Canis lupus familiaris: one gene and its partners. The protein of the gene in region 1 interacts with the protein of each later gene in a pairwise test. Links are inferred from orthologs where the notes say so. Each region holds a gene or a part of one and is shown on either strand. Other genes may lie near its edges.

Evidence for each region.
Region 2: the proteins of RGS19 (region 1) and GNAO1 interact in a two-hybrid assay, tested with the Homo sapiens proteins (2 studies listed by BioGRID). The link is inferred for Canis lupus familiaris from reciprocal best matches to the Homo sapiens genes RGS19 and GNAO1.
Region 3: the proteins of RGS19 (region 1) and GNAI2 interact in a two-hybrid assay, tested with the Homo sapiens proteins (2 studies listed by BioGRID and IntAct). The link is inferred for Canis lupus familiaris from reciprocal best matches to the Homo sapiens genes RGS19 and GNAI2.

Annotation. Positions count from the first base shown.
Region 1 is NC_049245.1:48,362,424-48,366,525, forward strand, and holds the start of RGS19 (regulator of G-protein signaling 19), read right to left. Parts: upstream 2,801-4,102; 5' UTR 2,747-2,800; intron 2,421-2,746; exon of another isoform or gene 2,301-2,420; coding exon of another isoform or gene 2,298-2,300; intron 1,975-2,297; exon of another isoform or gene 54-1,974; 5' UTR 1-53. UniProt on the Homo sapiens protein: Inhibits signal transduction by increasing the GTPase activity of G protein alpha subunits thereby driving them into their inactive GDP-bound form. Binds to G-alpha subfamily 1 members, with the order G(i)a3 > G(i)a1 > G(o)a >> G(z)a/G(i)a2.
Region 2 is NC_049223.1:59,252,595-59,256,663, forward strand, and holds the start of GNAO1 (guanine nucleotide-binding protein G(o) subunit alpha), read right to left. Parts: upstream 2,801-4,069; 5' UTR 2,336-2,800; coding exon 2,218-2,335; intron 2,017-2,217; coding exon 1,974-2,016; intron 1-1,973. UniProt on the Homo sapiens protein: Guanine nucleotide-binding proteins (G proteins) function as transducers downstream of G protein-coupled receptors (GPCRs) in numerous signaling cascades.
Region 3 is NC_049241.1:39,499,361-39,503,328, forward strand, and holds the start of GNAI2 (guanine nucleotide-binding protein G(i) subunit alpha-2), read right to left. Parts: upstream 2,801-3,968; 5' UTR 2,765-2,800; coding exon 2,647-2,764; intron 2,640-2,646; exon of another isoform or gene 65-2,639; intron 1-64. UniProt on the Homo sapiens protein: Guanine nucleotide-binding proteins (G proteins) are involved as modulators or transducers in various transmembrane signaling systems.

The DNA of each region.
Region 1 (4,102 bases):
GTCGCCCGGGCTCCGTGGTGCTGGCTCCGGGACCCTCACCACAGCCTGGGGGTCTGAGAAGAGAGGTGGGGGTTCCCGCTGAGAACCTGAGACGACAGTCTCTACTTGCCTCTCCCTCCGCCCAGGAGCCCGAGGGGCCTGCTCCCCTGCCCCCACCTGCACCGGGACTGCGAGCAAGGGCAGGGGCGGTGAGGAGGAGCCAGACAAGATCTCCACAGGAGGTTCTGGGACACCCCCGTTTGCTCGGTCCCTGGGAAGCCGGAAGTCTGGGTTCCTCTTTCTTGGTTTCCGGCTCCTGGCCCCTCCCAAGGGGCCTGGGGGGCCCCAAGAGTCTGGGGCTATCAGCCTAATGCTCCCTCCATTCTGGGTTTTCTGTAGGGAGTGGGCGAGGTGGGGAGGGCTTGCCCCCCCCCAGGTGCCCAGATCTGCCCTCAGCCCCGGAGGGTTCCAGCCTGTTCGCAGCTGCCCAGCCTGCAGCCTGCGTGTGGGGCAGGACTTGAGGGTCTGGGGGTGTGGGGAATGCAGCAGGGCACAGTGAGGAGGGCCAGGCGCCTCGTGGGGGATGCAGGGCTCCTGAGGCCCAGACGCTGCCCCTGGCACCCCAACCCCCAGCGGGCACCTTACCACACCCAGGGCCTCCCAGCCTCCCTTCCCCCAGCCCCACCAGGCGGTGGAAGCCAGTGCAGCCTGGGGTGCCAGTCAGGGAGGGGAGCGGGGAGGAGGGCAGCAATGGGTCGGGGTGTCCAGCTCCCAGGGTCAAGGTGCGGGATCCCCAGACGGGGTGCGGGTCGGCATTGTTTACAATGCCTGTGCCCACGTTTCAAGGTGCAGGCGTGCAGGGGGCACTGGGCCCTGAAGCCCCCAGCGGGGGTGAGGAGCCCGAGCAGCCCCCCAGCCCCCCCCTTCCGTCCCCAAGGCCAACCACGGATCCCAGAGTCCATGCGGATCCCAGAGTCCACACCTGGGTGGCCGATCAGTGCCCCAGGGGCAGTCTGAATGCTTTCCCACCACAGCACCTGCCTCTGCCTGCCCTGGCCGGGGTGAGGACCCCAGGGCCCGGCTGCACCCCCGCACAGCCTTTGTGACCCCCCAGGCCTGCCCCCACCCCCGTCCCGGTGGCCAGCAGGCTCAGGACTTGCTTTCACTTCGTTTTCTCATGTAATTATCACATCACCCCTGGGCCTGTGGCCTTTCAACCCCCGCCTGGCCCACGTGGCCTGCTGGCTGCTGGGGTCTCGCAGGTGGGAAGGAGGGAGCGGCGGGGATGCCGGGGGCGCCGGGAGCCGTGCTCAGAGGTGCAGGGCCTGACTCAGGCACGCTCAGGGCACCCTTGCCTCTGGGGCCTGGGCACGCAGAGGCCCTGCCGTGACCCAGATCTAGGGCAGAGTGTGGGGTCCCCTGGGCTGAGGGCCCTGGCCAGCTGCCTGCTTCCCCTGAAATCATGGACATGGACGGGGAACCCTCAAACTGGGCCCCAGCCCGCCTTTCCTTCAGGGGTCTAGCTTGTAGGGAAGGGAAGGGGTGTGGCAACCCCCGAGGTCTGGTAGCCAGGCAGAGAACTGCTCTTCCTCCTCCGCACCCCTACCCGCTGCGAGTGGGGGCAGGGCCCCATCCCCCTCCACTCCCTGGCACCCCAAGGCTCTGCTCTGAACTGGAGGAGGGGCCAGGTCTGAGGGCGCCCACGTGCTGGGGGTCCTGGAGTGGATGCCTACACTGGCCCGGGGCTGGCGGGGTCTCCTGTTCACCCGCTGTCTCCTGAGGTCGCCCGGGGTGTGCACAGGGCTCCTGCCCCTCCGCCTGGCAGCTGGAAAGGGGCTCGGTCCCCTTTCCCAGCCCTTGGGCTCTGGCCCCCAAGTCTGGGATGGGGGAGGCTGGACGGGCAGCGAGCCTGGCCTCTGGGGACCGAGGCTCCCTTGGGAGCTGCTGCTACTCTGCTCCACAGAAGGAAAAAGAACGTCCCTGAGCCCGCCCAGTCCAAAAAAAGAATAAGAAAATGTGACAATCCCAGAAAAAAATGCCATAACCTTTAGGCGGAGGGTTGACAGGGGCTCCTTCCCCTGCTTCTGGCGCCCCTGCCTCCCCTCGGCCGCCCCCCGCCCCGCCCCCGCCCCGAGCGATGGGTGGGGCGGCCCCGGCCTGGGCCCGACCTCTGTGGCCCGGGGACCCTCGCCCGCCCCCAGGGCCGCGGTGCCGCCGACCCGTCTCCCTCCTCCTCCCGCCGCTGCGGGGTCTGCCCGGGGGGCGCGGCTCCGACTCGGGCCCGACGCCCCCGGGGCCTGGCCGCGCGCCCCACTCACCATCGGCCCAGGGGCGAGGCGCGGGCGGGAGGGCCGGTTCCCGCGGGGCCCCACCCGCTGCCGAAGGGCGCGCTGCAGCGACCCGGGTCCGCGGGCGGGAGGCCCTCCGCGGGGTGTGGAGGCGGCGGGAGCCCCGGTCAGCCCGGCCAGCCCCGAGCGAGCGGCTGCCAGGCGCGGGGCGGGGGCGCGCAGGGCGTCCCGCCGGGCCCTCCCCACCGGGCCGGGGGCGGGAGGCGCGGAAACCGGGGCTCTTCCGGCCCCCCCTTGAGCAATCACTTCCCCGGGCTCCGAGCTGCAGAAAGGGGAACCGGTGGCGGCGCCCCCTCCCCCCGCGCGGGGCACCGGCTCCGCTCCCGCCGCCGCCCGGGTCCACGTGGGCCCGCGGTCCCGGCGGCGCGGTCCGGGCTCCAGCCGCCCCCCCCGGCCGCCGACCCCCCGCGCGCACTCACCGGCCGCGCTCCCGGCCCCGCCGCCGCCGCAGCCCCGCGCACAGGTCCGGCCGCCGGTCGGGGAGGGGGCGCGGGCCGCAGTGCGCAGGCGCGGGCCGCACTTCCCCAAAGCGCGGGGCCGGGACTTCCTCGCGCGGGGAGGCGTCCGGCCCGCCCCGCCCCGCGCACCCCCGCCCCGCCCCCGCCCCGGGCTCCGCGGCCTCCCGAGGAGGCGGGTCCCCGCACCTGCAGCCCCGGGCGCTCCCGCGGGGGCCCGCGCCCGCCCTCCCGCCGCCGCGCGCCCCAGGGGCCCTCGGCCCTCCCCGGCCCCGGTGGTCGGCGCGCCCCGGCCCTGTCGAGGGGCCCGGCCGCCCCCGCCCCCGCCCCCGCCCCCGCCCCCGCGCCCAGGCCCCGCCGCTGACCCGGTCACTAAGCACAGCGCTCCGGGACCCCCACGCGGAGGGCCGACCTCCCACGCGCCTCGCTCGGCGGTGATGGGTGCCCCAGAGGTGGGCCCGGCTGCGCGCACGGACCGCGGGAGCCCGGGCTGGAGGTGCGCCGGGGGGGGGGGGGGGGGGGGTGCCGGGATGCTGGGGTGCCGGGGTGCTGGGGTGCCGAGGTGCTAGGATGCCAGGGTGCTGGGATGCCAGGGTGCTGGGATGCCGGGATGTTGGGGTGCCAGGATGCTGGGGTGCCGGGGTGCTGGGATGCCGGGGTGCTGGAATGCCGCGGAGCTGGGATGCCGGGATGCCGGGGTGCCAGGGTGCCAGGATGCTGGGGTGCCGGGGTGCTGGGGTGCCGAGGTGCTAGGATGCCAGGGTGCTGGGATGCTGGGGTGCCGAGGTGCTAGGATGCCAGGGTACTGGGATGCCAGGGTGCTGGGATGCCAGGGTGCTGGGATGCCGGGATGTTGGGGTGCCGGGATGCTGGGGTGCCGGGGTGCTGGGATGCCGGGGTGCCGGGATGCCGGGGTGCTGGAATGCCGCGGAGCTGGGATGCCGGGATGCCGGGGTGCCGGGGTGCTGGGGTGCCGAGGTGCTAGGATGCCAGGGTACTGGGATGCCGGGATGCAGGGTACTGGGATGTCGGGATGCCAGGGTACTGGGATGCTGGGGTGCCGGGATGCCAGGGTGCTGGGATGCCGGGATGCCGGGGTGCCGGGATGCCAGGGTGCTGGGATGCTGGGGTGCCGGGGTGCTGGGGTGCCGAGGTGCTAGGATGCCAGGGTGCTGGGATGCCAGGGTGCTGGGGTGCCGGGGTGCTGGGATGCCGGGGTGCTGGGATGCCAGGGTGCCAGAGTGGTGGGATGCCGGGGTGCTGGGGTGCTGGGATGCTGGGGTGCCGGGATGCCGGGATGCTGGGGTGCCGGAATGCCAG
Region 2 (4,069 bases), on another chromosome or scaffold:
GCCGAGTCCCTCCGAGCCCCGCGCCCAGTCCGCACCGAGCCGAGCGCCTCCGAGCTGAGCATCAGCGACTTTTCCGGCCTCAGCTGGGCGCTGTCCACCACTTGCAACGCCTGAAACCTCACTCAGCCCGGTGGCTGGGGCTTCTAGCCGGCTCCGAGGCCGCCACTGCAGATTACAGACTCCTGAAGTTTTGAAACATCCCCTTCTGGGAGAGAGGGGTGGCGCTGCCTGCATTTGCCGACCCGCAAGGGCTCCAGGCAGATGCAACATGCACCTTGTTGCAAAGAGCAATTCCCCAGGCCCCGCCTCCCCATCCATTTGGGCTGCACAAGCTCTAGAGGAGCCCCAGGCCAAATTACCCGTGGCTCAGAGGGGTGCGGCGAGCCGAGGGGGCCTCTGCAAAGCAAGCCCCAGGGAGCTCTCGAAGGAAAATAAGAATATGTCAAGCAGACGTGGGGAAATTGTCTCCGAGTCGCTATTCCCTACCATCATGGCGCCGCCTAGAACCCGCTTGTCATGCCTGTTACACATGCAAGATTTTTTTGCATCTTGGTTCTGAAACCGCAAGCATGTTTTGTCTCCCACCCACCTTTCCGCGAAAGGGGTTTTTATTTTCCATTGTTTTCCTACGGGATGCAATTACTTCAGCTATTCTGTCAAGCTGAAAAATAATCATTTTTGTTTACTGCACAGCAACCCCTAATTAGGAGCTGTGTGTGCACGAAGGTGTCACAGCAAAGCGACGTGGAATCCTCGCTAAACGGTCTTAACGTCCCGAACTGACAGGCCAACGGAAGCAGCAGGGCCAGGAGGCCCCGAGGGCACACACCCCTTCCCCACAGGCCACCCCCTCCCAAGCAAAGCTGCCTGGTGGGCTCGCCAGGAATTGCGGAGTGGATGGGGCAAGAAGCAAGCTTCAAGAGTGGGAAGGAGGGGCGAGGCTCCTAACCGACAAAGTGTGGAAGGGAAGGAATATCCCATTTTGTTTTAATTTTCAACCATCACTCAAATCCACCCCCAGTTAATTAGGAGGCGAAACTGATATGTAAGGCAGAAGGGGGCGGCTGGCAAGTGGGGCCTGAAATCCGCATTGAGGGTAGATTTATAAGGAAGATGGCCTATGCAGAGTGTAAATAAATACATTGATAAAGGCCAGGGAGTGTCAGGAGAGCAAAGGCTTGGGGGGGGGGGGCGACGAGGGGGGAAACAAGGGCTGGGCATTCAGCCTCAACCAGCATCCCCGTCCACCTCTGCCTTGGATACTGCTGTGCCAGTCATAATATCTGCTTGGAAGCCCACCTCTCCCCTACCACATACCCCTTCCCCTAACCCTAGTGCTTCTCTGAAGGGGGGGGGGGGGGGGGGGGGGTAGAAACCACAACCTCCCAATTCAGCACCAAATCCATGAACAGCAGACACTTGATCCTCCACCCCAGTCTAGGGCTGGGTCCCTTCCATGTTTTAGCCAAGTTCAAAATCACTGCCCCAGGAGAAGAGCAGGGGCAAGTGGGATTATGGATGTGGAATGGGTGGTGGTGGTGGTGGTGGTGGTGGAGGGAGGGAGGAGAGAGAAATACAGAATGAAACAGACAATAATGGAGGTAGTGATACACCCAAGGAGCAAGAGTAATGATTAGAATCATGCCAATAGTGTGATGTTCTGATCAATATGGCGGACACTGTCATTCATACAAACTACAGGCGCTCCACTTCCCTCCCTCCCCCCCCCCCTGCAAAAAAAAAAAAAAAAAAAGAAAAACCACCCACCCGGGAGTTGGGGTGGAGGACCCAGAACCAACGTAGGGCGTGGGGGAGGGGAATCAAATCCAGGTGTGTGTGTGTGTGTGTGTGTGTGTGCGCGCGCGCGCATGAATCAGAAACCAGGCCTGGAGAGCAATGTGGAATGAGCAAGATAATACAAATGACAAAAAATTATTAATAAAAGTACAAATCCCAATGCCACAGGGACTTACTTCATCTGCTTCACAATGGTGCTTTTTCCTGATTCTCCAGCCCCTGTTGGGACAGACCGGGGGAAAAACTGGTGAGTGTCAGCTTAGGGGAACGGAGGGGGAGGGAGGGTGGGTAAGGCATGCGAGAGGGTGGACCGAACCGGGGGACCAGGTCTCCCCAGGCACGAGCAGGGTGGGAGAGCGGGCGGAGGCGGGTGCGGAGTGTTCGGGGTCGCGAGATGGGGGTGGCAGCCCCGGTCCTTACCCAGCAGGAGTAATTTCACGTCTTTGGCGGCGCTGATGCCATCCTCTTTGAGGTTTTTCTCAATCGCCTTGCTCCGCTCGAGGGCGGCTCTCTCCTCTGCGCTCAGAGTACATCCCATGGTGGCCCCTTCCCTGCCACAGCCCGCACGACTCGGCTGGCACGGCTCCCCGGCTCGGCGCGCCCCCCACCCCCCCAGAGAGCAGAGCCTGGGCTCAGTGGGGAAAAAAAAAAAAAAAAAAACCAAAAACAAAACAACAACAACAACAAAAAAACCACGATATCCTTCCCTTGGCTGAAAACAAAAATGTCGGGAAACCAGAACCCCCCAAAAAGACAGCCGCGGACAAGATCCCAGCAGCGGAGACTGGCGGCAGCTGGCGGGCTCTAGGGGTGTCGAGGCGAAGGTGGCCGGGGTCTGGGGCTCCGGGGCCGAGGGAGGAGGCGCCCGCGGTCCGAGGAGGCGCGGGCTGCAGGCACTGAGGCTTGTGCACGACCCAAAATAAATAAAATAATAGTTGAGGCAGGAGCCGCAGCCGGAGCCGGAGCCGGAGCCGGCGGAGGGTGGGGTGGGGGGCAGGGTGGGTCCTCCTGCCGCTGCTGCCGGAGGAGGAGGAGGCGGCGGCGGCGGCGGCGGCGGCGGCGGCGGCGGCGCGGGGTGTGGAGGGAGCGAGTGAGGGGGTGCTGCTAGTGCATGTGCATCGCGGGTCCTCAGCCGTCGGTGCGTCCGCGGCGCCTTCGCCGACCCCCGCGCGCAGGGCAGGGCTGGGCAGGGGGCCGGGCCGGGCCGGGGGGCAGGTCTCTAGCGGGAGGCGGCGTCGCTGTCTCCCAAAGCTCGCATCGCTCGGTGGAGCCTACGGGAGAGGGAGAGGAGCGCGAGGGAGCCGCGGGCAGCTGGCAGCTCGAGGGGGGAGAGAGAGAGAGACGCGGGGAGGCTGGAGGGAGGGGAGGAAAAAAATGAAGGGAGAGCCAGCGAGCGCGCGCGCCACAGCCCGGGCGGGGGAGGGGGCGAGCGCAGCGCGCGAGTGCGCCAGCGGCTCTGCGCACCCCGCACCGCAAGCCGCCCGCTGACGTCAGCAGGGCCGCGCGCCGGGCCCCCGGGACCGGGGTTGGGGGGCGGGGGAGGCGCGCGCCGGGGCCCGCGTCAGTCGGCGGCGGCGCGCGTGCGCGCGCGGCGCGACCTCCCCTCTCCCGGCGGCCCCCGGCCCGCGGCTCCGCGAAGTGGGCGCGTGCGGAGCCTGGCGGGGCGGAGCCTGGGGCCGGGCGCGCGCCGGGGCGTCCCTCCCTCCCCGCCGCCGCCGCCGCCCCCGCCCCCGCCCCCGCCCCGCGTGCGCGCGGGCTGCGCGGACCTCCTGGTCAATGGAGCGCCGCCGGCAGGTGGGCCCCCCAGCTCGCGCCCCGCGCTGCCTCCTCGGTTCTCCCGCCTCCGCTCCATCTTGGCTCCGGCCGCTCTGCTTCTTGGTCACTTTCCAGGCGCCGGGGCCGCGGCAGCCGGGACCCAGGTGACCTCAGCGAACGTCGCCGGCGGCGTGGGGGCAGCTGCTGAGTGCCCGCTTGCTGCGACCCAACCCACCCAACCCACCCAACCCACAGGCATTAACTGAGCACCTAGTATGTGGGAGAGGAAGCCGTGAGAGAGGGACGACAGGAGGAGCCAGAGCCGGGCCTGGAGTCCGGGAGCCCGTGCCCCCCGGGGCCATCGCGGCGCCTGCTCCGGGATCCCGGCCGCGGCTGTGGGCGCGGGCCGCGGGGCCCACCCCGGGAGCGCGGCGTCGGGAGGCACAGGCTTACTCGCAACCCAGAGTTTAAAACGGCTTTTACTCATTCTGCAACGATTTAGCTCGTTTGAAGTCTT
Region 3 (3,968 bases), on another chromosome or scaffold:
ACACCAGCCCATCCCAAATCAGAGACATTCCCCCAAAACACAAAGCCAAGGCCCCACATCCCACCTGGGAACTGTTGGTCAGTCAGGTTGAACTAGGTGGTGGTGGTGGGGGTGTCCCAGAAGTAGGGCTGGTATCAGCAGCTCTGCCCCTCTCGACCAAGCTCCAGGAAAAACACTCTCATGGCATGTACCACATCTGCCTCTGCCCCCGGTGCCCATCCGCCAGCAGGGCTACCCAGGAGGGCAAGGAGCCAGGATGCGGGTGGGGCAGCAGGCGTGGTTCTGGCTGGAAGGGAAGGCTGGCAATTGCCCAACCTAAGAGTCCCGTTGCCTGGACAGAATTCTTCCCGCTACATGGGACAGGCACCCAGCACTCTGAAGCTGCCCCAGCTGGGCTCCCATCACCTCCCGGTACCTGGATGGGCCAGCCAGGACCCTTACCCAGGCAGCCATGGCAGATTGGCAGTTTCAGGCAGAGGTAGGTCTCTCAGCCCCTTGCTGTATACCCTCTGCAAGGCCTTACTTAGTTCCCATCCCCTACCCCCAACAGGAACCTCCACGGGGCCCCTATTCCCTCCATCCTGGGCCCAGCGCTCTTTGGCCCCAACCCAGGAAGCCCATTCAACAGAAGAAGCAAAGGCCAGAGGGGGAGCAGGATGCTGAGGTGGACTCCTCAGCCTAGAAAATGCTGAGCCAGACCCTGCACCCCTGCTTGCTGCCGGGCCAGTGTGGGAGGGGATGCCAGGCCCAAAACCTGAGCTGAGCTCCAAGGAACAAGACTAGTGGAATGGGGTTGGTGCACAGAGGGCCAGGAGCCCTCTGTGTCACGGCCCTATGGCCCAGTCCCACGTCTCCTCAGCCCATCAGCCCGAGAAGGGGCCAGCCAGAGGCCCCTGGGTGGGCACCAGGGGACAGCGATACCAGAAGGACCCTACCCAGGCCCAGTGGGCAGCGGCAACGGGCCCTCCACCTTGGCGACACCCACTCACTGGTGCTGCCGCACTCGCAGCAAAGACAGGAAGAGGCAAGCGCCCAACGCAAAACAGCCCAGGAGGCTGGGCCGCCGCCCCTTCCCGCCCCTTCTCTTCCTACCCGCAGCGGCGGCGGAACGGATGCCATTTTGAAACCTCTGGGCTGTGCCCCTGAGGCCAGGCCCCCAGGGACAGTCAACAGATGGGCTCAGATGGGAGACACACTGTCCCTCGGCCAGGCCCCCAGCAAGGAGGCTCTGCTGTTCACAGCCCGGGGACCCCACCGCGGCTCTGAGGCTGAGGGGCCACACCCCCCCACAGACACTGTCCAGCCTCCAGAGCTGCTGCGAGGGCACCTCTCCCCCAACCCCAAAGCCCCCGAATCAGGCTGCCACCGGGCACCGCACCTGCTCCCGGCGGGAGGCCGCTTAGGGACAGCTTCCAGGCCCACAGTCTTCGTGAAAGTCCACCTCAGATGCCTCCCAACTCCATCTGGCCCCCAAGTCCTCATCTAGCTGGTCCGCCACTTCCCCCTTACAGGGCCTCAGGATCTGACAGGCCCCCTGACTCCCGGAGGCCAAGTCTTTGGCCTTTCGGCCCAGAAAGGGTGCGGGAAGCCCAGCACCCGTCAACATATCTCCTCGGCCCGCCCGCCGGGGCAGCAATATGTCGGCTGTCTCACCACTTCCACTTCCCCCCACCCCTCAAGCCGCCACCATCTTCCCTGGCCTTGGAGGCGCCGCAACCCAAACTCCTCCATACTCACTCCCTCCTACTCCCCAGACGCCCCCCTCACCGGCCCAGATGGGGCTTAGAAACTGGGAAACGGCCAGCGGGAGGAATCTCCCCGCGAAGCTTGAGGCCCGATTCCCTCCCCCAGCGCAACCAGTGGAGCCTCAGTCCAGCCCCTGAGTCTGGGCCCCCACCACCCCGCCGGGCCCGGCCCAGCCCACCGGTGCAGGAGGGGTGGGGGAATCTGGAAGGCCAAAGTGTGGGGAAAGGACTTAGGGGAGGAGAAGCAGGGGGTTTGAGTAGTACTGTGTGCAGAGAGCGACCTGGTGGGCCAGATGGAGGGAGGAGTATCTAAAGGTTTAGGGGTTCTGGCAGGAGAGAGGGCTCATGGGCAATCACAGTTTCCACTGAAGAAGTACCCTGGAGTCAGGGTGCACAGGTGGAGGATACAGGGTTCAGAGTAGGGATGGGGCAAAGAGCGGGAAGGAGGGAGGTGGGGGCTGGCAGGGGCCCCATGGATATTTATGCCCAATAGGAACAAGGTGAGCAGGTGGGGGAAACAGGTGGTGCCTGAGAGTGGGGGCAAGTGGGGTTCTGGGTTTTTGAGTAAAGTCTAGAGAAGGATGGAAGGACAAGGCAGGGGGACTCTGAGGGTCTGTGAGGTTGGTCAGCAAGGGTCGATGGTCAAGCAGGTTCTGGGTCTGGGGGTTAGGCGTCTGCGAGTTGAGGGTCTGATCTACAGTCTGGGCTTCCGATCAGAGATCTAGGCCAACCCAGAGTTTTGAACCATTATTTGGGTGTCCTGGCCAGGCGGGGTCTGGGAGTTCAAGTCCAGGTATAGGGGGTGAGGTCAGGACTTGAAGGCCCTTAGTCTGGAGGTCAAAGTCCTCGTCTGGGGATTCGGGCGGGGAATCGGGGGTCCCAGAGCAGGGCGCGGCCTCACCCAAAAGCAGCAACTTCACCTCCCGCGCCGCCTTCTCCCCGTCTTCCCGCAGGTTCTTGTCGATCATCTTGGAGCGTTCGGCCGCCGCCTTGTCCTCGGCACTCACGGTGCAGCCCATCCCGCCGTCCGCCGGCCCGGCCGCCGCCCGGCCCCCGCACGGCCCCCGGCCCGGCTCGGCCCCGCCCGACCCACACGGCTCCCGCCGCCGGGCCTCTACGAGTAGCTCTCGGGTCGGCAGTTCCGAGCGTCTGCGGGCGGCGCCTTCCCGGCCGCCGCGCACCGACGGCGGGGCGGGCCGAGGGTGGGGCCGGAGCAGGCCAGGCCCGGGACTGGGCCGGGGCGGGCCCGAAGGCGGGGCCAGGGGAGAACCGGGGCCGCTGATTGGCTCGAGGGCGGAGCGAATGGCAGTTAGGCCCCGCCCAGACCCGGGCCCGGGCTGAAGGCGGAGCCGCGCGGAGGAAGAGGGGCAGGCGCGGAGCCAAGCCCAGAGGGATTGGGCTCGGGGCGAGCTGCGGGCGGGGCTGGGCTCCGATTGGGTGCCGAGCGCTCGGCGCTCCGCGGCCCGACGGCGGGGGCGGGCGGATCTTGTAGCCCGAGGGTGGGGATCCGGGGCACCTCGCTGGCTGGGCAGAAACCAACCCTCGAGCTTAAGCAAGTTGGGCTAGCGGGGTGGAGGAGGCGTGTCTTCGTCCTGTTAAAGTTAATGAACCCAATAAACTTGTTTCGGGATCTTCAGAGCCCCGGAGCCTCTCTAAACTTCGGCTTTCTCTGTCTTAAGGCGGGTTTGACCTCTTCTCTCTCGGTTTGCAGCTTAAAAAATGTCTGCTGCCACTTCTACACCTTTGCCCAGCTGTCTCCCTCAGCCGGGTGCCTCCTCTCCTCACCCAAATCTTTAAATATCCTTCATCGATCTGGGAAGCATCCTCCTGCCTGTAGTCATCCGGGACTCTAGCCTGGGACATGGCAACCAGGCCCAGAGAGAGAGAGGTGGGGGGTGGGGAAAAGAAAGGTCTACCTGATTTCTGGATAGATGAGTGGCGCTGATCCTATGACCTGTCCCCACTGGACAGTGGCTGCACCCCTATGGCTGGGCAAAGGTGGACGGAGGCCAGCAGCGTTTCTAGCAGAACATTGCAGTCTTTCTGATCCTCTTCAGGAAGGGAGCCCTGACCTCTAATGGACTTCCAGTGAAAGGTCTGCCAAGGGTTACAGAGAAATATGTCCTGTGTGGCCCCACTACCATGAGGCGAGGACGCCCCAGCCCAAAGACCAAGAAGGTCTACAAAGCCAGGAAGGGAGCTGGCCACCCACAGCCCCCTGTT